Linked DNA regions of Elephas maximus indicus. The protein of the gene in region 2 interacts with the protein of the main gene of each other region in a biochemical or structural test. Links are inferred from orthologs where the notes say so. Each region holds a gene or a part of one and is shown on either strand. Other genes may lie near its edges.

Region 1 (7,636 bases), on a different chromosome or scaffold from region 2:
GGAGTTTACTTTGTTTAATAAATTCAACTGTCTAGAAGAGCTTCAGGTTAAAATTATGTCACCTACTTTATTCCAAAATTGTATGAAAATGTATATTTAAATGGTTGTCTTTTCAACAGTCTTACACTTATGCTACAATGTATTTTCTCTGTAAGTAAAATATCAATCACTTAAGGGATCAAGTTAAAGAGATGTGAATAACATTTTTAGATCAAACAAGATGAATTTCTCCTGTGAATATGTTGGCATGTTTCAAGGCCCATTATCCACAAAGTAGTAATTTAACTAAAAAACTCGTATTAAACTTAATATTAGGTTTAATGACCTCATTCATAAGGTCAATATTCACTTTAACTGAGTTAACCATTTTTTATTCTGGTAAAAATGTTTTATAAACAATTTCATTTTACTATTTAAACACCAGCGCTAGTCTTTTCTTATAGAGCAATTTGGTGTCACTATAAGGCATTTATACAATCAGAAGCAATGCACGGTACTCAGTAAAGGCATGATAAACATCTACACCACCTGATAATATAAAATGAGGGTATATGAGAAAAATGCTTTAGTTACATTGTAATATGAGAACTAATTCAATAATGTATATTAAAGCCTTAGGAAGTAGACTAAAATATTAAAATACTACAATAAAAGGTACATTTTACGTAAGTAAAAGGAAAATTTAACACACTAAAAGAAAAGATCATTAACAAAACATTAACTAGAAACCAAAAACATTACATTTTATAATGAACACAAACTAAAGCATTTAATTAAAAGTAGGAGGGGAAAAAAAGTTACCTAGGTCCCTGGGTAACACACTGACTGAAGCTCAATATCTTAAAAACCCAACAGTGAGGCTGTCACCTTTTCAGATCACACAAATAAAACTCACGATGCCTTTATTATATACAATGCTCAGCATGCTACTGTATTAGCAGCTATGGAGAACAGGCATTCTGGGTGCCTCCCAATTTTAACTATCAAGGACAACATCAAATTAAACAAATACATTTTTATAGAAGAAACCATTCTACAAAATGTCAAATATTGTAACAATGCTGCAGAGCTCCCAAGACAGAAAAGTGCTGACTAGGCAATATTCTTAAAATGAGACACACTATAGGTAACACTTTCAAAATTTTAAACAAAGAGTATTTACAAAATGGTCTAATATCCTCTGAATGCCAATTTATACATCTAGATTTGAGGAACTATCATCGCTGGGTGGCGTAGTGGTTAAGTGCTACCGCTGTTAACCAAAGGGTCGCCAGTTCGAATCCGCCAAGCGCTCCTTGGAAACCCTATGGAGCAGTTCTACTCTGTCCTATAGAGTCGCTATGAGTCGGAATCGACACGACGGCACTGGGTTATTTTTTAAATCATCGCTGAAATCTGAATGGAAATTAAAAGTCTATAAATTAATGAAACTTTCCAACCAACAACTTTTTAAATATAAACCCTAGAAGTGTTATTTATTTATTTATTTTGGTTCTTAAGTCAAGTTTTAAACAAATGTGCTCTGATTCGCTGAATAGATTTTTAATATGTCTTTAAAACTGTCTAGGAAAATTTGAAAGATGTAGGTGATTTCAAGGAACTCAGAGATAATAATTAGGAGTAAACACATGAAGACATACAAATCACAACAGGAAATCTGTCTCAAGCATACATTTTTCTTTCCTGGAAAAAAACTGTTCTAAAGTATTTGCCATCTCATACAAATATTCCACCTAAACAAAAACTCCAAATTTGGAATCACTCTGCTAGAATTGACAAAACTTTGAAGTAGGGAAGAAAGGAAATTAGAGGAAGATGCCAAGAAAACGTCTCCCTCGATAAATCTAGTTTCAAATCTTTTATAGAGCCCCAAGCCACCACAAAAATGAGAAAGTTTCCTCAAAAGATTACTGAGACTACAAATCCCCCACTGTATCTGTCCACTACACTCACTCACACCTGCTACTATTCCTTTACACTACCGATCTAGACACGTTGGACGTAAGAGTGCAACAGAACACCAGTTGCTCTAGCTCAAAAAAATGCCTTCAGAAACACTCAGCCCCTTTCTTCAAAACCGCACGTGCTTGCCTCTTTCAAAACTTTTCATCCTACCAAGCTCTCAGTCTCCTCCGAGAATTATGACAGTCCTCTAAGCTAACTGATGTGGATATTAAAAGTCTAAGGGTATTCCAAGACAGACTAATGTTAGCTAATACGCCAGCACCAAGGGGCTGGCCAAAACTGTCAACAAATTGGGACCACAGAAAAGAGAACAAGAGCTGCAAAGGTGTGGGAGTGTAAGTGGGTGCGTGTGCGCTGGTGACAGGGTGGGTAGGGGGGATCCTTCAAGTGTAATACAGAAAAAATCCAAGCCCTCGGTCTCTCGACCAACCAAATCTTGATTCCATGGGCTGTGTCGGGAATAGACCTAATCTCCCCGAACGCGGGGACTGAGGGGCGTGGTGGGGCCGCCTCCCGCCACCACGGTAGGACCCGCACCCGCGTGCACCGGCACCCAGTCCCCGCACCGAGGACGCCGCTCCGGACACTCACGTTTTCTGCACCGGTTTCCGCCGCTTGCGACTGGCGTAGGTGATGTTGGCGCTGCTGCTGTTCATGGTGCCCGGTGTGAGGCGGCCCGGTCCCTGGGGCCCGGCGGCGGCCGGGACGATGGCAGGCAGGCCGGCGGGCGGGCGGGCTGCCAGGCGGCCGGCGCCGGGTTCCGTGAAGCCGCGCCCGCTCCACCTGCGTCCTCCCCTGCGCGGTGGCGAGGGCGCTGCGCCCCCTGCGCCTCGCCTCCCGCAGCCCCGGCCCGTCCAGACAACCCGTGGCCGGGGGCGCCCGTGTTTGGCGCCGGGGGCAGAGCGGCGGAGACCTGCTAGCGAGGGGACGCAGGTGCCGTCTACACCGGCGGAGGCGGCGCGGCGCTGCCTGCAGGTGAGGCGGCAGACGGAGGAGGAGCCTGAGCCGGCAGGTTGGAGCGCCGGCCTGGGTTGCGCTCGGTGGTGCGGCGCCCCGTGACCGGCGCGGCGGCCCCCTGGGTGAGGGAGGCGCCGCCGCGCTGCTCCCGGGGCTTCCCCGCTCCTAGGTGCTTCCCGCCCGCGGAGCTCGGGAGCCGGCCGCCAGTCCTGGGTGCAACCCGCTTCCGCTCGGCTATGCGGCTGCCTCAAATCTGGGCCTCGTTCCTAGGTAAACTCTCGGGACGAGCTTTGAGTAGACTCTCCCTGAACTGCCTCCCGCCGCCGAACGCGCCGGCCGAATAGCAGAATCGCCCCCGACCCCTGACGGGCCCGCCCCGCCCAGAAGAGCCCCGCCCCATCCTTTTGGACCCGCCCCTTCACTCCGTCTCCCTTGAGGGCTCCACCCTCCTCCCAGCACGTGATGACGTAGAACGTAACGATGCTCTCCAGTAGCCATCTTCGTGAGGTCAAAGGGAGTATTCCTTTGTGGATACATCTCTCCAGCGCAGGAAGAGGTGTGAGAACAAATAAGGTGTAGTCAAACTGTTTGTAGCTAGACTGTCTCAAGAATTATTGTTGTTATGTGCCCTTGAGTGGATTCTGACGCATAGGGACCCTGCCTACAGTAGAATGCAACACTACCCAATCCTGTGCCATTCTCATGACCCTCGCTATGTTTGAGTCCATTTTTGCAGCCACTTCAGTCTGTCTGGTTGAGGGTCTTTGTCTTTTTGCTCACCCTCTACCAAGCATGATGTCTTTCTCCAGGGACTGGTCCCTCCTGATTACATGTCCAAAGTACATGAAAGAAGTCTTGGTTATCTTTGCTTCTAAGGAGAATTCTGGCTGTACCTCTTCAAAGGAAGAGTTGTTCCTTCTTCGGGCAGTCATGGTCTCAAGATTAAATATGCCAAATAGTAAACTTCATTTATGGAAAGACAGCTAACTTTGGGCTAAGAATTTCAGTAAACTAGAAGAGATAACCCAATAGGACTATCTAAATTTTCCCAGAGGGGAAAGCTTCAGGAGGCCACATTTAAGTTGGGACTTAGAGGCTAAGAGTTTCCTTGGACTTTTTTATTTTTTAATTTGTCTCTCAGGCTAGGCAGTATAATGTCCTTTCCTCAGTAAAACTTTGTTATCCCTTAGTGGAAAGAAGGAAGCTAGGAAGAAGGGAAGCACTTAGGACAGGAGGTGTTTAAGAATAGAAGGTGTCTGGTATGATTAGAAGGTGCTTGGGAAGCTCAAGCAGATCACAGTTGGCTGCTAACCTAAAGGTTGGCAGTTCCAACTCACCCAGCTGCTCTACTGAAGAAAGGCCTGGTGAACTGCTACTGTAAAAAATTAAAAAACAAAAAGAAGCTTGTTACCATCAAGTTGATTCTGACTCATAGCCAAGAAAACCCTATTGAGCAGTTCTACTTTGAAACACATGCGTTTGCCATGAGTCAGAATCGACATGTAGGCAACGGGTTTGGTTTGGTTGCTTTTGGTATGTCGGAACAAGGAAAAGCAGCTGAAGGTGAAGTTCAGGAAGTTTGGGATCAAATCATAAAGACTTGATAAACAGTTTATCAAAGACTGGATTTGGGGAGAGTAGTTAGAAAGTTGTTGAAATGAACCAGGGAAGCAGCTGTGGCAATGGAGAGAAGAGAGAAAATATAGATGATGGTAGAAGTGGTTAAGACACTAGGGGAGAGAGAAAACAATCTAGGGTGGCCTCAAGATTTCTGACTGTTTCTGTGGGTGCAGTTAACTAAGACAGTGAACACAGACAAAGGAGTTGTTCGCTTGTCAGGAGCAGAAGGACATCCAGATTAAAATGCCTAGATGCTGCCTCACATCAGATCCACTTCTACATTTCAAAATGCCTTCAAGCCATTCCCACCTGGTAAGCTTATCCCAAATTCAGTGCAACAAAAAATTGAACTCATCATTTTCTTTAATTGAAATCTCACCCTGTTGCGGTTCAACCAGTTTCCAGATACATTCTTCAGATCAACTTAGGAATCATCTTCAACTCCCTTACCACCTATATCTAAATCTTTCAACAGATACAGTTAAAGTTTGTTCTTCACAATGTCCCTTATCATCTCCCTCCACCTTATTCTCCAATAATACCAAATTGACAGAGCCCAGCTTAAATGCCACATCATTCAGGATTCCTTGGCTGATTATCATACATTAATTTATTCAGCAGATATTTTTGGGGTACCTACTATGTGCCAGGAATTGTGAAAAGAAAAAAAAATTTTTTTTTCCTTTTCACTATGTGCCAGGAATTGTGCTAGTAAAGGAGAGACAATGGGTGACTGTCTCTCCTTTAGATTGAATTATTTCCCCCCCAAAAATGTGTGTATCGATTGGGCTGGACCCAATTGTGATTTTCCTATATGTTGTAAATCCTGCCTCTATGATGTTAATGAGGGAGCACGGGTGGCAGTTGTGTTAGTGAAGCAGGACTCAACCTACAAGATTGGATTTTGTCTTGAGGCAATCTCTTGAGATATAAAATAAAGAAGCAAGCAGAGAGACAGGGGGACTTCATACCACCAAGAAGGAGGTGCTGGGAGCAGAGCACGTCCTTTGGATCTGGGGTCCCTGCGCAAAGAAGCTTCTAGTCTGGGGGAACATTGATGAGAAGGCTGACAGAGAGAGAAAGCCTTCCCCTGGAGCTGACACCCTGAATTTGGACTTTTAGCCTACTTTACTGTGAAAAAATAGACTTCTGTTTGTTAAAGCCATCCAATTGTGGTATAGCAGCACTAGATAACTAAGTGACTAAGAAAAATGAATTATGCTCTCAATGAATTAGGACATACTGTCATAAATATTGTGATGGAGAAATATATGGTTCTGTGGTCTAATAGGCATATTTGACCTCACTAAAGAAACTGATGCATCTGTCAGTTTGTTGTATTGTGGTGGCTTGAATGTTATGGTGATACTGGAAGCTTTCCTACCGGTATTTCAAATACCAGCAGGGTCACCCTTGGTGGACAGGTTTCGGTGGAGCTTCCAGACTAAGACAGACTGGGAAGAAGGACCTGGCAGTCTGCTTCTGAAAAAAATTGAGCAGTGAAAACCATATGAATAGCAGCAGAACATTGTTTGATATAGTGCCAGAAGATGAGCCCCTCAGGTTGGTAGGCACTCAAAATATGACTGAGGAAGAGCTGCCGCCTCAAAGTAGAATCGACCTTCATGATGTGAGTGGAGACAAGCTTTTGGGACCTTCATTTGCTGAAATGGCATGACTCAGAAGAAACAGCTGTAAACATCCATTAATAATCCAAATGTGGAATGTGTGGAGTATGAATCTAGTAAAACTGGAAGTCGTCAGAAATGAAATGGGACACATAACATTGCAATCCTAGACGTTAGTGAGCTGAAATGAATGGTATTGGCCATTTTGAATCAGATAATCATATGGTCTACTATGCCAGGAATGACAAAGAGGAATACCATCACAGTCGTCATTAAAGAGAACATTTCAAGATCTATCCTGAAGTAAAATGCTGTCAGTGATAGGATAATATCCACACGCCTACAAGGGAGACCAGTTAATACGACTATTATTCAAATTTACCCACCAACCGCTAATGCCAAAGATGGAAATTGAAGATTTTTACCAACTTCTGCAGACTGAAATTGATCAAACATGCAATCAAGATGCATTGATAACTACTGGAAATTGAAATGCAAAAGTTGGAAACAAAGGAGGGTCAGTAGTTGGAAAATATGGCTATGGTAATAGAAGTGACACTGGAGATCCCATGATAGAATTTTGCAAGACCAATGACTTCTTGATTGCAAATATATTTTTTCAGCAACATAAATGGCTACTTTACACATGAACTTCACCAGATGGAAAACACAGGAATCATATTGACTACATCTGTGGAAAGAAATGATGGAAAAGCTCAATATCATCTGTCAGAACAAAGCCAGGGGCCGACTGTGGAATAGGCCATCTATTGCTCATATGCAAGTTCAAGTTGAACTCGAAAAAAACTAAAACAAGTCTATGAGAGCCAGAGTATGACTTTGAGTTTATCCCACCTGAATATAGAGACCATCTCAAGAATAGACTTGATGCATTGAACACTAATGACCAAACACCAGACAAGTTGTGAGATGACATCAAGGACATCCTGCATGAAAAAAGCAAAAGGTCATAAAAAAGACAGGAAAGAAAGAAAAGACCAAAATGGATGTCAGAAGAGACTCTTGAACTTGCTCTTGAACATAGAGTAGCTAAAGTGGATGGAAGAAACAGTGAAGTAAAAGAGCTGAGGAGAAGATGTCAAAGGGCAGCTCAAAAAGACAAAGTAAAATATTATAAAATGTGCAAAGACTTGGAGTTAGAAAACCAAAAGGGATGAACATTCTTGTCATTTCTCAAGCTGAAAGAACTGAAGAAAAAATTCAAACCTTAAATTGCAATTTTGAAGGATTCTATGTGCAAAATATTGAACAATGCAGGAATCATCAAAAGCAGATGGAAGGAATACACACAGTCATTGTACCAAAAAGTATTGGTAGTCGTTCAACTGTTTAAGGAGGTAGCATATGAACAAGAACCAGTGGTATTGAAGGAAGAAGTTCAAGCTGCACTGAAGGCACTGGCAAAAAACTAAGCTCCATGAATTGGCACAACGCCAATTGAGATG
Region 2 (8,469 bases):
ACAATATGATTAATATCAGAAGCCCTGGTGGCGCCATGATTAAAGCGCTGGGCTACTAACCGAAAGGTCAGCAGTTGGAACCCACCAGCTGCTCCTTGGAGGAAAGACGTGGCAGTCAGCTTCAGTAGAGATTACAACCATGGATACCCTATGGGGCAGTTCTACTCTACCTTGTAGGATCATAATCCACTTGATGGCAACATGTTTTGGTTTATCATTAATATCACATGCAAGTAAAATTATGCTGAAGATAATTCAAAAATGGTTGACAGGGAACTTCCAGAAATTCAAGCCAGATTCAGAAAAGGTCATGGAATGAAGGATGTCATAACTAATGTCAGATGGATCTTGGCTGAAAGCAGAGAATACCAGAAAGATGTTTACCTGTGTTGTATTGACTATGTAAAGACATTCGACTGTGTGGATCATAACAAATTATGGACAACAATGCAAAGAATGGTAATTCCAGAATGCTTAATTGTGCTCATGCAGAGCCTGTACATTCCAGAACCCTGTTGGTGGATTGACACAGTGGCTGCAATAATGGGCTCAAACATAGCAATAATTGTGAGGATGGCACAGGATTGGGTAGTATTTCCGTCTATTGCACAGACCGACTTGATGGCACCCAACAACAATTGGTGGGAGTATAAATTAGTACAGCCACTTTTAAAACAGATTGGCATCACGTACAATGGTTGAAGATGCACAACTCTTATGACCCAGCACCTCTGATCCTGTGGGAATTCCCTAACCAGAAGACATGAGTGAGAATGTTCACACCGTCGTTGTTGTTGCTAGGTGCCATTGAGTAGGTTCCAACTCATACCGACCCTACGTACCACAGAGCTAAACACTGCCCGGTCCTGCGCCATGCTCACAATCGTTATGCTTGAGCCCATAATTGCAGCCACTGTAATCAATTCATCTCATTGAGGGTCTCCCTCTTTTTCGCTGACCCTCTACCAAGCATGATGTTCTTCTCCAGGGGCTGATCCTTCCTGACAACATGTCCAAAGTATGTGAGACGCAGTCTCATCATCCTTGAGTCTAAGGAACTTTCTGGCTGTACTTCTTCCAAGACACATTTGTTCACTCTTTTGGCAGTCCATGGTATATTCGATATTCTTTACCAACACTGCAATTGAAAGGCGTCAATTATTTGGTCTTCCTTATTCACTGTCCAGCTTTTGCATGCATATGATGCAATTGAAAATACCATGGCTTGGGTCAGGCACACCTTAGTCTTCAATGTGACATCTTTGCTTTTCAACACTTTAAAGAGCTGTTTTTGAGCAGATTTGCCCAATGCACTGTGTCTTTTGATTTGTCAACTGCTGCTTCCATGGGTGTTGGTTGTGGCTTCAAGTAAAATGAAATCCTTGACATTTTCAACCTTTTCCCCATTTATCAGGATGTTGCTTATTGGTCCAGTTGTGAGGATTTTTGTTTTCTTTATGTTGAGGTGTAATCCATACTGAAGGCTTTAGTCTTTGATCTTCATCAGTAAGTGCTTCAAGTCCTCTTCACTTTCAGCAAGCAAAGTTGTGTTATCTGCATATCACAGGTTGTTAATGAGTCTTCCTCCAATCCTGATGCCTGGTTCCTCTTCACATAGTCCAGCTTCTGAGATTATTTGCTCAGCATACAGATTGAATAGGTATGGTGAAAGGACACAACCCCGATGCACACCTTTCCTGACTTTAAACCACACAATATCTCATTGTTCTGTTCAAACAACTGCCTTTCAATCTATGTACAGATTCCTCATGAGCACAATCAAGTGTTCTGGAATTCCCACTCTTCGCAATTTTATCCATAATTTGCTGTGATTCACACAGTTCAATGCCTTTGCATAGTCAATAAAACACAGGTAGACATCTTTCTGATACTCTCTGCTTTCAGCCAGAATCCATCTGACATCAGCAACGACATCCCTGGTTCCATGTCCTCTTCTGAAAAATCTGAACCTGGCTTGAATTTCTGGAAGTTCCCTGTCAATGTACTGCTACAGCCACTTTTAAATGATATTCAGCAAAATTTTACTTACATGTGATATTAATGATATTGTTCCATAATTTCCACATTCGGTTGGATCACCTTTCTTGGGAATAGGCATAAATATGGATCTCTTCCAGTCAGTTAGCCAGGTAGTTGTCTTCCAAATTTCTTAGTATAGATTCATGAGCACTCCAGTGCTGCATCTATTTGTTGAAACATCTGAATTGGTATTCTGTCAATTCCTGGAGCCTTGTTTTCTCCAATTCCTTTAGTACAGCTTGGACCTCTTCCTTCAGTAACATCAGTTCCTGATTATATGCTACCTCCAGAATGATTGAATATCAACGAATTCTTTTTGGTATAGTGACTATGCATATTCCTTCCATCTTCTTTTGATGCTTCCTGCATCATTTAATATTTTTCCTGTAGAATCCTTCAATACTGCAACTCGAGATTGGAATTTTTTCTTCAGATCTTTCAGCTTGAGAAATGCCAAGCCGGTTCTTCCCTTCTGGTTTTCTATCTCCAGGTCTTTGCACATGTCATTATAATACTTGACTTTGTGTTCTCAAGCACCGCTTTGAAATCTTCTGTTATACTTCATCATTTTTTCCATTTGCTTCAGCTACTTGATGTTCAAGAGCAAGTTTCAGAGTCTCTTCTGACATCCATTTGGTCTTTTCTTTCTTTTCTGTCTTTTTAGTGACACTCGCATTCTTCATGTGTGATGTCCTTGATGTCACTCCACAACTCATCTGGTCTTTGGTCATTAGTGTTCAAAGCATCAAGTTTATTCTTGAGATGGTCTCTATATTCAGGTGGGATATACTCAAGGCCCTACTTTGGCTCACATGGACTTGTTCTAATTTTCTTCAGCTTCAACTTAAACTTGCATATGAGCAAGTGATGGTGTGTTCCACAGTTGGCCCCTGGCCTCGTTCTGACTGATGATATTGAGCTTTTCCATTGTCTCTTTCCACAGATGTAGTTGATCTGATTCCTGTGTATTTCATCAGGCGATGTCCATTGTAGAGTTGTCATTTATGTTGTTGAAAAAAATATTTGCAATGAAGAAGTTGTTTCTGTTGCAAAATTCTATCATGGGATCTCCAGAGTCATTTCTATCATCAAGGGCATATTTTCCAACTATCGACTCTTCTTTGTTTTCAGCTTTCTCATTCCAATCGCCAGTAATTATCAATGCATCCTGGTTACATGTTTGATCAATTTCAGACTGCAGAAGTTAGTAAAAATCTTCAATTTCTTCATCTTTGGCCTTAGTGATTGGTGCATAAATTTGAACAATAATCGTATTAACTGGTCTTCCTTGTAGGCGTATGGATATTATCCTATCACTAACAGAATTGTACTTCAGGATAGATCTTGAAATATTCTTTTTGATGTTGAATGCAATGCCATTCCTCTTCAAGTTGTCATTCCCGGCATAGTCAACCACATGATTGTCTGGTTTAAAATAGCCAAAACCAGTCCATTTCAGCTCAGTAATGCCTAGGATTTTGATGTAGGTGGATTCCATTTAATTTTTGACGACTTCCAATTTTCCTAGATTCATCCTTTGTGCATTCCACATTCCAATTATTAATGAATGTTTCCGGCTGTTTCTTCTCATTTTGATTCATGCCACATCAGCAAGTGAAGGTCCGGAAAGCTTGACTCCATCCATGTCATTAAGGTCGACTCTACTTTGAGGAGGCAGCTCTTCCCCAGTCATCTTTTGAGTGCCTTCCAACCTGAGGGGCTCATCTTCTGGGAGTGTATCAGACAGTGTTCCACTGCTCTTCATAAGGTTTTCACTGGGTAATTTTTTTCAGCAGTAGATCGCCAGGTTCTTCCTAGTCTTATTCTGGAAGCTCAGCTGAAACCTGTCTGCTATGGGTGACCCTGCTGGCTTTTGAATACCGGTGACATAGCTTCTAGCATCACAGCAACACGCAAGCCCCCACAGTACGACAAACTGACAGACCCGTGTGGGCTACTAGACACAGATACAGGTAATTTTGGAATCAGAAAAGACTTTTAGAATGTACTTATTTAATTAAAACCTTCCCATATTAAAAAAATTTTATATTTTACTATAAACAAAGGATAAAAAGTCCATCAAAAACCTGTTGCTGTTGAGTCAGTTCCAACTCATAGCGATCCTATACGACAGAGAAGAACTGCCCCAGAGGGTTTCCAAGGAGTGGGTGGTGGATTCAAACTGCCTACATTTTGGTTAGCAGTCATAGATCTCTACCACCATGTCAGCACGGCTTCATAACAAAGGATAAATCAAATGATTTTATTGGTGGTTATGGACAGAGAAATACTATAGTTAGGACTCTCAAAATGCTAACACGTGCCAGGTACCGCGATGGTTTAGAAAAAAAAAAAAGATGCATTTCCTATCCTTAAGAAGCTTACACACTTATGATAATACAAAATATAAAGGAAGCACATAGGCAAGATCAATCAGCACAAGGTATGATTGTGACTAAACGAACGGTAGAAGGGAGAAAGCAAGGTAGGCTGGAGTCTGATCAAGCACCAGGAAGAAACAGGCTAAAAAACAACTACCAAAAGTCTCTTACTGACAAATATGAAAAGATTGCATAAGATGACATTGCCATCAAGTTGATTCTGACTCATAGTGACCCTATATGACAGAGTAGAACTGCCCCCATAGGGTTTCCTAGGGTGTAAATCTTTATGGGAGAAAGGCTGCCGTATCTTTCTCCTATGGAGTGTTTGGTGGGTTTGAACCCCCAACCTTTTGGCTAGCTGCCAAGCGCTTAACCACTGTATCATCAGAGCTCCTAAGATGAGAGTATCAGAACTAAAATTACAGTTGAATTTGTAAATAAGGGCTGTTTTTTCCTGTCATTCTATATGTTTAAGGAAGATCCTCTAACAACAGCGAGTGCTTGCCATGCCCCAGGTACTGCTCATGGATTGACTTAATTCGCCTCAAAACATCCGCACAGGTTAGACCTAGTAGCATCCCACTTTACGAAGAAGAAACCGAGGCAGAAAAGTCATGTAACTTGCTTAAGGTCACACAGCTAGCTAGTTGAAGAAAAAAAATCAACATTTAAAAATCAATGATTTTCCCACATCTGGCAATGACCAATCAGGAAAGTTCAGGTAAAGCGGCCCCGCCCCAGAATCCCCGAAGAGCTCTTGGTCCCAGGGCAACAAACGGAAGTGACGTAAGGCCCACAATTCCCATGGCCGCCGCTCCTGCCTGAGTAGCTCGTTGAAGCCGAGCGCAGAGCTGGCGGAAGTGACATCATCGGCGCGCGCGGAGTTCGGTAGTATCGGTCAGGGTAGCCGTGGCGGGCGCCTGGGCCGCCTGCGGCTGAGCTTGTTCCTGCGGGGCGATGGTGGTCACTGCAGGGACTCCAGGTAGTAGCCTTCCACGTCCCCGCTTTTCCTGTTCTCTGGGAGCTGTGGGTGCGGGATGCTGGGTCTCGCGCAGAGGCGGCGGCCACAGCGAACTGTCGGGCGATGGCGGACCGGGCGCGGAGGGACGCAGGCCCCGCGCGGATGCTGCCCCGGCTGCCGCCCCCCGAGCAGGCGTGACCGACGGCGGCTCCCAGTCGTGCGGGCCCGGGGCGCCTGGAGGGGCGCGGGGCGCCTGGAGGGCCCGGGGCGAAGAGCGAAGACCTGCCGTTTCCCGGTCTGCATCCGCCGCTCCTCGGGTGTAGGTTGCCGGGCCCTGAGCCGTTTGGCTACCGGTAGGGGTGGTTCCGTTAGGCAGTTGTGCTTGGGACATTCTAACGTTTGTCGGAGGCCCGAGACTTGCGATGTAAACGCACACTACTTTATTCACAAGGCCGACATCCCTGGGCTCAGGCCAGCGTGGTTTTCCAGTTTGAGACTTCGGGTAGGCTTCTCTCTGAAAAGAAGCCTCTTATACGTTATGCTTGATTGAGTTATGCAGACACGAGCAGGCTCCGCAGAACTATAATCGGTCTCTTCCCTCATCAGTGATTGCCTTCAAAAGCTATCGAATTTGATGCTTCCATTTCCACAAGATTAAGACGCTTCTCTAAATATAAGATAGTGCAGAGATAACGATGCCCTTATGATGACTGGGTGGGGAAGTGCCATCATGGGAGTGACATTTGCTCTGATGTTATGACATGAAGCCCCCAACCTATCTCCTTAGGTTTCTTCTTCAGACTTAGTTTGCCAAAAGGGGCCTGGAGCCACCAATATTATGGACAAATTTCTAGGTCGTCGTGTTTATGAATGCTTTAAATCCTACTCCCTTAACCTCTTGCCTCAACCACACCAACGAGCCCTTAAACTGAACTTCAGCCTTCAGTTTTGCTCCCAGGATTCACCCACACTTACCAGGGAGCCCTTCTAAACAGATCTGCCCAGGCTGCATTTTAGAATCCTGTAACCACTCTTATTGCCTGTATTGTAATGTCTAGAACTCTTGGCACTGTGGCCCTAACTATATTTGCTGTCACAGCTCCTGCAGCTGCTTTTCACTCAACCATACTCAGCTCTTGTTGCTGCATATTGCATGCTCTCTTGTCATGTCTTTGTGCCTGACCTTCCTTTTTCCTAAAATGCTGAGTTGTAAATTCTTATTCACCTTGCTAGACCCAAATCAGATGGTCCCTGCTTTGTGAAAACACTATCTCCAGAGTGACTGGCAGTTAGCCTGTCTTGTCTTGTCTTCCATAGTGTGCGTGCGTCCCCTTGTTGGCCTGCAATTACGCAGTGTGAATAGCGTGTGCATCCCCTCGTTCACCTGCGATTGTGCACTGAATGTACAGCATGTGCGCATCTCCTTGTTCACCTGGGATTGCACACTGAGTGTACAGTGCGTGCAAAGACAAAGATACTGATCTCTGCGCTCCGGGAGCTTAGCTGGTGTGTAGCTTCTGCTAGAGCACTTGATGCATTTTGCAGTGATCGTGTGTATGCCCTTTCAGTTGAACTCTTTGGTGCCTCTCCATCTTTATATCTGCAGTTCTTATGTTATTGCTATTATAGGATAACAATGTTGAGAAAATTCTATTTTTTTTTCTCTCTCTGATATATTTTTTAAAGGACGGTTTTTAAATTCTAACTTTATTAAGGTTTTGTTTGGTCTGTTTTTCAGTGATGAGTTGGTAGGATATGAGATCTTTTTTTCTTCTCAAAGAGATTGTTAGGTTCTTTCATTTGCTCCACAGACATCTGAGTGCCTGCTCTCAGGCAGGCTTAGGCTCAGAGTGCAGGTGGTTCTGGTTGTGTGACTCACGCCTTTGAGAGCTGTCAGTTCTGCGTCGGGTGTCTTATTAGATGGTGATGAGTATCTGAACTGAACTCTCGGAGGAACTACTAGCACTCATCCCTCAGTTCTGGAGGGTAACTGGATGCTGCTCTGGATGTGCTGATCCAGTCCAGCAGTCCTGTGTTAATTCACTTAGCTCCCATGGCAGCCCTGAGCAAGCTTCAGGTCCCTCTGAGCTGAACAGAACAGATCTTCCACCAGTCTTGGTTCTTTCCTCTAAGAGTGTGGCAAGTGTATAGCCAGTAAAGAGATGATAATTTTTTAGAAGCCAGATATAGGTACAGTTTACATCCTGCACTTACGTGTTCTTAAGGGGTAAGGTTATTATGTTTACAAGAAGACTATGTTTTATATATCTTTGTACAGCTTCTGTCACAGCCCTTATTCAAGTAGGAGCTCAATAATGATTACACTAAAATGTATTTATCCAACTCAGTATTTATGCCCAGGGCATTGGGGAAGATAAAACTGAGTGGAATACTTAAAAACCTGAATTTGGTCTGACAATGCTGTGTGTACCGTGCTTAGTAAATGATTGTGGACTGATACTACACTTTGCTCAGGAATTCATTTTCTCTGTTTTTTCCCTAAAAGTTTTTAACGGTTGTTATGACACCTTAATTTTGAACAACATCAGAGTATTAACCTAAAAATGTAACAAATCAATTCAATAAAGATTGATATAAAGCTTTTGGTAAGTTTGCAGTCACAGGAAACGTGGAAGGATTAGGCTCCAGGATTATAAGACAAAAAGAAATGTATTCCAAAATCACTTGGTTGGTTGATTGGTTGGTTTTTCTGTTATCTGCTTTTTTATAAGCATGATCCTGGCTTGTAGTACTATATAGCTCACCTGTGTTCTCACTCTAAACTTCACACTTTTTCAGAGTAGCATCACCTTGTTGGTGCGCGTGAAGATAATAACTCAGAGAGTGAAGGAAGTTCCTGAGAAGACTGTGCTGGTGATGCTCTCAGGAGAAGACTGAGTGCTGAGAGCAGGTCAGCACAGGTACTTCTGGTCCGCCAAGAAGTGACACCATGGATCAGAACAACAGCCTCCCGCCATATGCCCAGGGCCTGGCTTCCCCGCAGGTACCACAGCAAAGAGAGGGTGCATGGAAGGGGCAGGCTGTGAAGACCAGGGGCCCCTCCTTCACCCCCCTCACACACCA
Region 3 (8,426 bases), about 230 Mb from region 2:
TGCTTCCTTCTGCCTGAAACACCCCCGCTCCCGCCAGAAAATTCTCAGCTTCAGGGTCTTCAAACATAAAAAGTAGTTAACAGTTCCGTCCTCATAGGGGTGATGTACTGGATTAAATAATTCATATAAAGTGCTCTGCTTTCAGGGTTGGCACCATAAAGGGAGCTGGATTAAGTCCTGGCATCATAATAAAACACCAGTTGCCATCCAGTTGATTTGGACTCATGGCAACCCAATGTGTGTCAGAGCAGAACTGTGCTCTACAGGGTTATCAATGGATGATTTTTTGGAAGTAGATTGCCAGGCCTTTCTTCCAAGCTGCCTCTGGGTAGACTTGAACCTCCAACCTTTCAATTAGCAGCTGAGCGTCTTAACCATCTGCACCACCCTGGGACTCCAGCATTCATTAATAAGACTCCCTATGTAGAAAAGAGACTCTTGCAGCAACATGAGGACTTGACTGAAGTGAGGGAAGGTGCAGGCACTCTGGCAGAATTATGAGCTACAGTAACCAAACCCAAACTAAGGAAGAACACAAAACTGCAAGAAAAGGACAGGATAAATGAAATCTATTAGGGAAATAAAGTCAAAAGAACCTAACAATATATTGGAAATTGGATATTAGAGGAGGAAAAGCTAAAAATAGCTGTTTTGAGCCAGTGCAAAAAGGAAGAGAGAAGTACTACCATGAGATATAAGTAACGTCTGAAGAGGAGCAGGTCTGGAACGGATGAAGCCTTCATTTTAAATGCTGTCTCTGAGGAAATACCACCAGATATTCCTGTGAGGATGTCTAGCAGATAGCTGAACAAATGAAACTAGAGCTCAGGAAAGAAGCCAGGCTGGGCCACTGTACTCAAAATCTCTGCATTCTGAAATCCTCCTTCCCAACAAATTCTGCCTTCTTTCCTCCATCACTTCCACTTCCCCACTTCTGCAGAGTCTTCTACCATCTCTGGTAGCGTAGTGGTTTAAGAGCTAAGGCTACTAACCAAAAGGTCAGCAGTTTGAAGCCACTAGACACTCCTTGGAAACCCTATGGAGCAGTTCCACTCTGTCCTATCCGGTCGTTATGAGTCAGAATCAACTCAAGGGCAACAGCTTAGATCAGAGACCTCAAGCTGGCAGCCCACATACATTATTTGACCCAACGAATGTTTTGAAAAAAAATTCTGAATTACAGTAATCAACATTTTAAAATTATGAGATTTCACATAAGTTTTTACTTTCAGCCCCTCTTTAAAATACCTGAGGAAAAAAAAAGAGACCACATTATCACAAGGAAACAAAACCCAAAAACCAAATCCACCACTGTCAAATCGATTTCGACTCACAGCGACCAGCTAAATACCAGTTGATACTTTCAGACAGGGAAGGGGCTTGGCTGGCCTCTAGAGACTTTTGAGTGTGGGACCTCTCAGAGTCAGCTTGTTTTTTCTCTTCGTCCTCGTAGTCCATCAGTCACTTCCAGCCTCACCTGTCTCCCTAGCTATAACTACCCCAGACACCCAAGGGCAATTTGGTTTTGTTTTCTGTATTCCATGTGTTTCTGGTGGCACGATGGTTAAGCGTTCAGCTACTCGAAGGCTGGAAGTGTGAACCCATTCAGACTCCATGAGAGAAAGACCTGGCAATCTGCTCCTATAAAGATTACAGCCTGGGAAACCCTAAGTGGCAGTTTTACTCTGTCACACGGGGTTACTATGAGTTGAAATCGACTCGAGGGCACCTAACAACAGCATTCCAATCATGGAGTCCCTGGGTGGTGCAAACAGTAACGCACTCAGGTGCTAACCAAATGATTGGAGGTTCAAGTCCACCCAGAGGTACCTCAGAAGAAAGGCCTGGTAATTAAAAAAAAAAAAAAAAAAAAAAACCAAGCATTGGAAAACCCTGTGAAGTACAGTTCTAGTCCTACACACATGGGGTTGCCATGAGTTGGAATCAACTCAATGGTAACTGGTTTGGTTTTTTTGGTTTATTCCAATCATACAAATAGTTGAGTACCAGGCACAGAGCTGGAGAAACAAAGTTGAAAGATATGCACTTTCTGCCCTGTCCTTGTCAGCCTCATCTCCAGCCAAACTGGTATCTTCTCAATTTCATGAGCCACGCATGCTTTCTCCACTTCAGGGCCTTTTCACAAGCAGTTCCCTCTGCCCCCAAAGCTAAACCCAAACCTCTTTCTTTTACTCCTTCAAGTCTCAAATAACATTTCCTCAGAGAGGCCTTCCCAAATTCCCCATGGTTAAGTTAGGATGATCCCCTTTCACACGTTCCCATACCTCTCTCCCCCTTCTACTTAGCTGCACTCGACAGTCTTGTACTTTCTCTATGTCTATCTCTCCCAATCCCCAAATCAGTAAACTGAGAGCAGGCACTGTTTTATCATTGAATCCCCAGCACCCAGCACAGCTAGTGAAGTACTTCCATAAAACTTTCATTAGATCTCCTAGGCACGTGTTCTTCCAACATGCCCACCCTGTCAGCTTCCCAATTCACTTTTCCCACTCCTGTTTCCACAATGGAAAAGAACAGGCTACCGCCTACCCTCTTGTTAAACTTAAAATGGTTTTAAGCAGGAGTGACAGATCAAGTTCGCATTTTAAAAGATTACATTGACTAGAGGGTGGAGGGAAGGAAAAAGGGGAGGATGCGAGAGTTCTGTTAGACTATCTCAGTATACTGCTATTCATTCCAGTTCTAGAAGAACTGGGGTTCTACACATCTAGCTGCGATTTTCTCTGTTGCCATATTTCACCGCACTCTCCGCGCCCTCCATATGTAAACAGGCATATTGCAGCGAAACCTCCGGGCCCAGCTGCCCTCCTAGCGACCCGTTCAGTAACGCCTGCTCCTTCCCACTGTGAGACCCCAGGACCCCAAACTCCCAAACACTCTCCCAGTTGAGTCCAGTGGACATAACTCGGCGCAGCCATACCCGAGCTCGCACCCGGGCCACTCCAGGGTCAATGGTTCTTTGGCGGACCAAGAAGAGGACCAAATCAGGAGAGAAGCAAAGGAAAAGAGGATAGTTAAGACAGGAGGAATGGAAAGGAGGAGAAAGCCTGAAATGCCACGGCGGGCCAGGGAACCGGGAACAAGGAACTGGGAACGAGGTTTACCGAAGAGAATCCTCGAACAATCCTACTACAGCTTCCCTCAGCGCCTCAACTACCGGCTTAAAGGAGCACGCCACCTGCGCGACGACGAACACGCATTATTCCTGCGACCAGCTTTGGAGCTCGCATGCTGCATTTACCCAGGCCGGCCAATCAGCACAGTGAAACCTTCAATCAGGACGGTCACGCTCTGACTGGCCAATGAAATTTGAAGGCTCTGCCTTCCATGCTTAGCTCTGATTGGCCTAGAGTCCCGGAAGAGGCGTTAACCAACGGAAGGCAGTGGCAAGATGGCTTCCCTAGATCGGGTGAAGGTGCTGGTGTTGGGGGACTCAGGTGAGTGGTTCAGACCCATCTCTGGGGCTCCCGACACTTTTGAGTTATCTGATAACCGTCCCTCTTCACTGTTAACCCCCCAACTTCCTGGCTCTTCGGCCCGTGGATGAAGTAGTTCTCAAAGCCTAAAGACTACATTTCCCAGAGGACTTTGCTCCGTTTGACTGTCTCCCGGGGTACGCTAGTTTAGAGCGTATTATCGATTCTTTTGTTTTGAAAGATACCAGATCTTGAGTATTGTACGGAAATTAGTACAAGCATGACCTCAAGGTACTCAGAACCCTATTCCAAGCGCTTTGCATATATTAACTGATTTAATCCTGAGAACAGCCCTATTAGTCCATTTTACAGATAGGAAAGTAAGGCAGAGAGATGTAAACGGCAAACTGGATTGAACGCCAAGCTATATTATGAAATGAAATATACGGTGGCCCTCCTGTTTTACTCTCAACGAGGCTTCTTGATTTCTTGTTCTAGTTTTTTCTTAATTGAAAACCTATTGTGTGCTGTTGTCGTTAGGTGCCGTCGAGTCTGCTCCGACTCATAGCGACCCTATGCACAATAGAAAGAAACACTGCCCGGTCCTGTGCCATCTTCACAATCGTTGTTAAGCTTGAACCCATTGTTGCAGCCACCTTGTCAATCCCTCTAATTGAGGGTCTTCCTCTATTTTGCTGACCCTCTACCAAGTATGATGTCCTTCTGCGGGGGCTGATCCCTCCTGTGTGCTAGGTTGTGAATAATAGAGAAATTAAGATAAAGGCCACATTTTGATGTAGCTAGGACTTAGTGGTGAGCCCAGATTTAATCTTAATATTAAAATTCTTTTGACACCTTGGACATTTGAGAACTAAAATTGAAGTCTGCATCCCGTCCCCCACCTCAGCTTTTCTTCACCACAACTCCTAGTCCCATACTCCTTAAGAACTTGGAAAAAATGCTTATCTTGTGTTTCCTAGATGTGCTTTTCTGAAGTTGACCTTTTGTGTGTGTGCTGTGAGTAAAGACACTGCCAGATGCTTGGAGGTAGAGAGGACATACCTCAAAGAGCTTGAAAACTAGTCTTACAGAAACTCTATATAGATTTGGAGGTGGGGGAAACGTTTTCACATTGCCTGAAGATTATTTGCATTGTCAGATATTTTACAGAGAGCATTCAATACTCCCCTAAGAAAGTTCCGGTAGGAAATTCTATGAGAATAAACCAATTTATGTCAGCTCCAGTTCTTCATGAAACTTTGAAGTAGTACTGAAGTTAATTTAATAGAGTGGCTTCATTTTCACAGATGAAGAAGGTAATGACATGAAGGGGCCCTGGCAAGAGTGTCACCACATTGGATTTAGGACTGCAATACAGAGCTGTTGGCAACAGTTCTGCATGACGTGTGAAGAACGGTGTTGTCTCTGTAGTCTGTATTTCTCTCTTTCTATTGCATCTAAAGAATCCTTCATGTTAAATACTGTTGAAACTAGTAGGTTGATTTTTTTTTTTTTAATACTTAAGTGCCAACTACATACCAGGCACTGTATTAGGTGCTAGAGTTTTAACTGTGAAATCAATGAAATACATTAACAGGGGTAGATTATATGCTGTGTAAAATGTGGAAAAGTAACCAGGCAATTAGTATGCTTTTTTTTCCCTGTCATAGTTTAGCTGAAAAACAGAAGACACAGCCTTGCCCACCAGGAAAGTGTTTAATCTTGTCACACATTCACTAACGTTAGACTACATGTGCAGAGTCAGTTATTGCCTTCATCAGTTCCCTTTTAACTGCAGTTTCCTATCTGACAGGTTAGAATATACCATTTATACTTTATCTGCCTTTGTATTCAAACTTCAAAGTTTATTTTTGAATAAAGGCTTATTCCCCCCATAAAATTTTGAGGATTTCACAAGCATATAAAGGAATGACTTGGAATTTAGAGACTTGCTTTGTACCCTATAGAGATATTTGATAATTTAGTAAAGTATCTTGAAAATCTCACCAACACATACATACTGTATTCTCTTTCTTCTTTCAGAGGTTCAGGGTGATTTTAATATATGACACCTACATTTGGAGCTGGCATCTATTTAATTATTTTTGGTTCTTTTTTTCTTGCCAGCAAGTTTAGTTCATTCTTTCGATCTACTTTAGTTCAAATCAGAACCTTCCAAATTTTTTAAAGAAATAAATAGTTGGCTACTGTTCCTAGCACTTCAACTGTTCTTACTATTTAGAGTTTTATCTAGTGTTAACTAAGATTTACCCACCAAAGCAGTTAATTTATGGAGAGCTATACGGTATTGCTGCAGAGAAATATTTACCCTGACACAATTAAGCAAAAACTAGAAGCTCAAGCCTTTTATTGAGCTGATAACTAAATGCCCAGATATGTGGCTCCAATATGAACAATATACCCTATAAAGTTTGTGAATATCAGTTGTAATGCAGTAAATACAAAGGCAAAGCTAGGCTTTTGAGTACTCAAAAATCTTAAATGTCTGTATGTAAATAAATAAATAAATAGGATAAAAGGAAACCTGGGAAAATGTTTGATTCCTTTACATGAGAGATAATGTCTCTAATATATATAAAAAAATATATATATAGATCATACAAATTGGCAGGAAGACTAAAACCTAGTAGATAAATGGGCAGAACACATCAGCAGATAATTCATTAAAGAGGAAAAACCACTGATTAGCAAAGATGAACAAAAACATATCTTTACCGGAACGTAAAGAAATGCAGACTAAAACAAGATGTCACTTCTTTTTCTCTCATCAAATTAACAGAGTTGAAAAAGCAACTACGTGACACTGCTGAGGTGGAACAAGACACGCAGCCTCCTGTGGCTAGTGGCAGCAACCAGATGGAAAGTGTTTGTCAGGATACATCAAGAACTTTAAATGTTCATTTCCTTTTACTCTTAAATTCACTTCTGGGGAGATATACGCAGAAATCTAATTTTAAACAAAAGTTTAAGCAGCAAAGATTTTCTGAGGATAGTGAAAAGTTCAAACAACCCTAAGTGTCTAATAATAAGGGAGTAGTTAAGTAAATTATTATGTCTACTTTCTGAAATACTATGGAGACATAAAAAATGTTTATAAAGATTTTGTAATAACATGGAAAAATGTAGTCACTAAGTAAATACTAATTAAGACCCTGTTCTGAGTACTGGAGATAAAAAGATGAGTAAAACAGCCACAAACCCCAAAAAGCTTAAAACTGAACAGAGTGAATAAAACCTATAAACAAACAAATGATATGTTTTAAGTGCTCTGTAGGAAAACATACAGGGTACAATGAAGACTCAGGATGTTGTGCTCAGCTCTACCTGTGTGGAGTCAGAAAAGACCACAATTGCAATAATACTGAGTCTTGAAAGATTAATTCACCAGGCCGATGGGGACAGGGAGTAGAATATTCCAGACAGAACAAGCTGTGTAAACGAAGTCTTAAAATGTTTTTATTTTATTTTGTTTATTATCGTGGTAAGTATACATGTAACAAAATATCTGACATTTCAGCAGTCTTCACGTACAATTCAGTGACAGGAATTACATTCATGCGATGCTGTTGTTTTAAGTACGCACTGTATGTATGACCACAATAACATGTTTATAGAAAAACCCTGGTTATGGGATTAGATAAACCTACACAGTAGTGGTCTTCAGGTGCTTTTGTCTTCGAGAAGACATAAGTGTCTTCTAGATTTTTTTGTAAATATAACTTTTTATAAAAATAAACATAAGCAAAAGGTCGATACTTGATAGCGCACATCAGAGGTGATCTAACTCTTCAGTACAACTAGTGACGCATAAAGATTCACCAGCTGTGCTTGGCATGCGGCGTTCCCAGGATGCTCTTAAATGAATGACTCCACCGACAGGTGTAGGAAGAGAGTTCATTCCCTTTTCTCATCATACAAATGTCAGAATGCTGCCGTTAGCCTTAGTAACCCCTGAGCCCAGGAGGCCTGAAAGAAGATAAAATATTGTCTAAGGTAAAGGACCAGAATGTAAAAGAGGGAGTAGAATTGTCTCCACCAAGTGGTTGGCTGACTTTTTTAAATCACTATATTAGAGAACTGGAGTGTCTAAATAGGAAATCGTGAAAGGTGAACCCCTGTCATTGACAGTGCTCAAGAACAGTCTGGAAGACCATCTAACCATCTAAGACCTGTGAAAGGGACCTCTAAATTGGTATTCAGGATGGAGATTACCTCTAAGATCTATTAAGATGTTATAATTCTAAAACAGGCTAATTAGGTGAAATCATTCAAAAGGAATGGTTTAGTTTACATGAAATTTCCCTTGACCATTGGTTTTCAAAAGGAAGCCTCTAAACAAGTAGCATCAGCATCACCTGGGAACTTGTTAAAAGTGCAGCATCTTGGTCCCCACCACAGACCTGCTGAATCAGAAACTTCCCGGGTGGGAACCAGCAAGGTCTGTTTTCACAAGCCCTCCAGGTGATTCTGCTGCATGCTGAATTTGAGGACCATTTCCCTCGACCATCTTTTTCACCTTGTTCATAAGGTTTATTGTATTGTTGATACAGTTTGAACACCCTTTTAACAGCCATGCTTTACGTCTCATTATTTTTGCACATTTCCTATCTTATTCATGCCAGAATAGATTTCAAGCATGCCTCTTACACTTACCTGAATAGAGTGTTGTATCTTTTACAGGTGTTGGCAAATCTTCACTAGTTCATCTCTTATGCCAAAATCAAGTGCTGGGAAATCCATCGTGGACTGTGGGCTGCTCAGTGGATGTCAGAGTATGTGCCTTTTATGTTTTGGTTTTTCAATAGTTATATTAAAGATGGTGATAAACCAAAAAAGTCCAAATCTGTTGCCACGGAGTCAGTTCTGACTCATAGCGACCCTAGAGGACAGAGTAGAACTGCCTCATAGAGTGTCCAAGGAATGCCTGGTGGTTTTGAACTGCTGACCTTTTGTTTAGCAGCCTCAGCA

The links. The genes of interacting proteins can lie anywhere in the genome.
Region 1: the proteins of TBP (region 2) and AHR form a complex in vitro, tested with the Homo sapiens proteins (2 studies listed by BioGRID). The link is inferred for Elephas maximus indicus from reciprocal best matches to the Homo sapiens genes TBP and AHR.
Region 3: the proteins of TBP (region 2) and GTF2E1 form a complex in vitro, tested with the Homo sapiens proteins (3 studies listed by BioGRID). The link is inferred for Elephas maximus indicus from reciprocal best matches to the Homo sapiens genes TBP and GTF2E1.

What each region holds. Positions count from the first base shown.
Region 1 is NC_064826.1:78,123,131-78,130,766, reverse strand, and holds the start of AHR (aryl hydrocarbon receptor), read right to left. Parts: upstream 3,285-7,636; 5' UTR 2,622-3,284; coding exon 2,557-2,621; intron 1-2,556. UniProt on the Homo sapiens protein: Ligand-activated transcription factor that enables cells to adapt to changing conditions by sensing compounds from the environment, diet, microbiome and cellular metabolism, and which plays important roles in development, immunity and cancer.
Region 2 is NC_064819.1:243,766,497-243,774,965, forward strand, and holds the start of TBP (TATA-box-binding protein), read left to right. Parts: upstream 1-5,307; 5' UTR 5,308-5,406; intron 5,407-8,184; exon of another isoform or gene 8,185-8,189; 5' UTR 8,190-8,335; coding exon 8,336-8,389; intron 8,390-8,469. UniProt on the Homo sapiens protein: The TFIID basal transcription factor complex plays a major role in the initiation of RNA polymerase II (Pol II)-dependent transcription.
Region 3 is NC_064819.1:11,349,947-11,358,372, reverse strand, and holds the start of GTF2E1 (general transcription factor IIE subunit 1), read right to left. Parts: upstream 3,285-8,426; 5' UTR 3,126-3,284; intron 1-3,125. Other genes in the region: RABL3 (rab-like protein 3), read left to right, coding at 3,413-3,458, 8,139-8,230.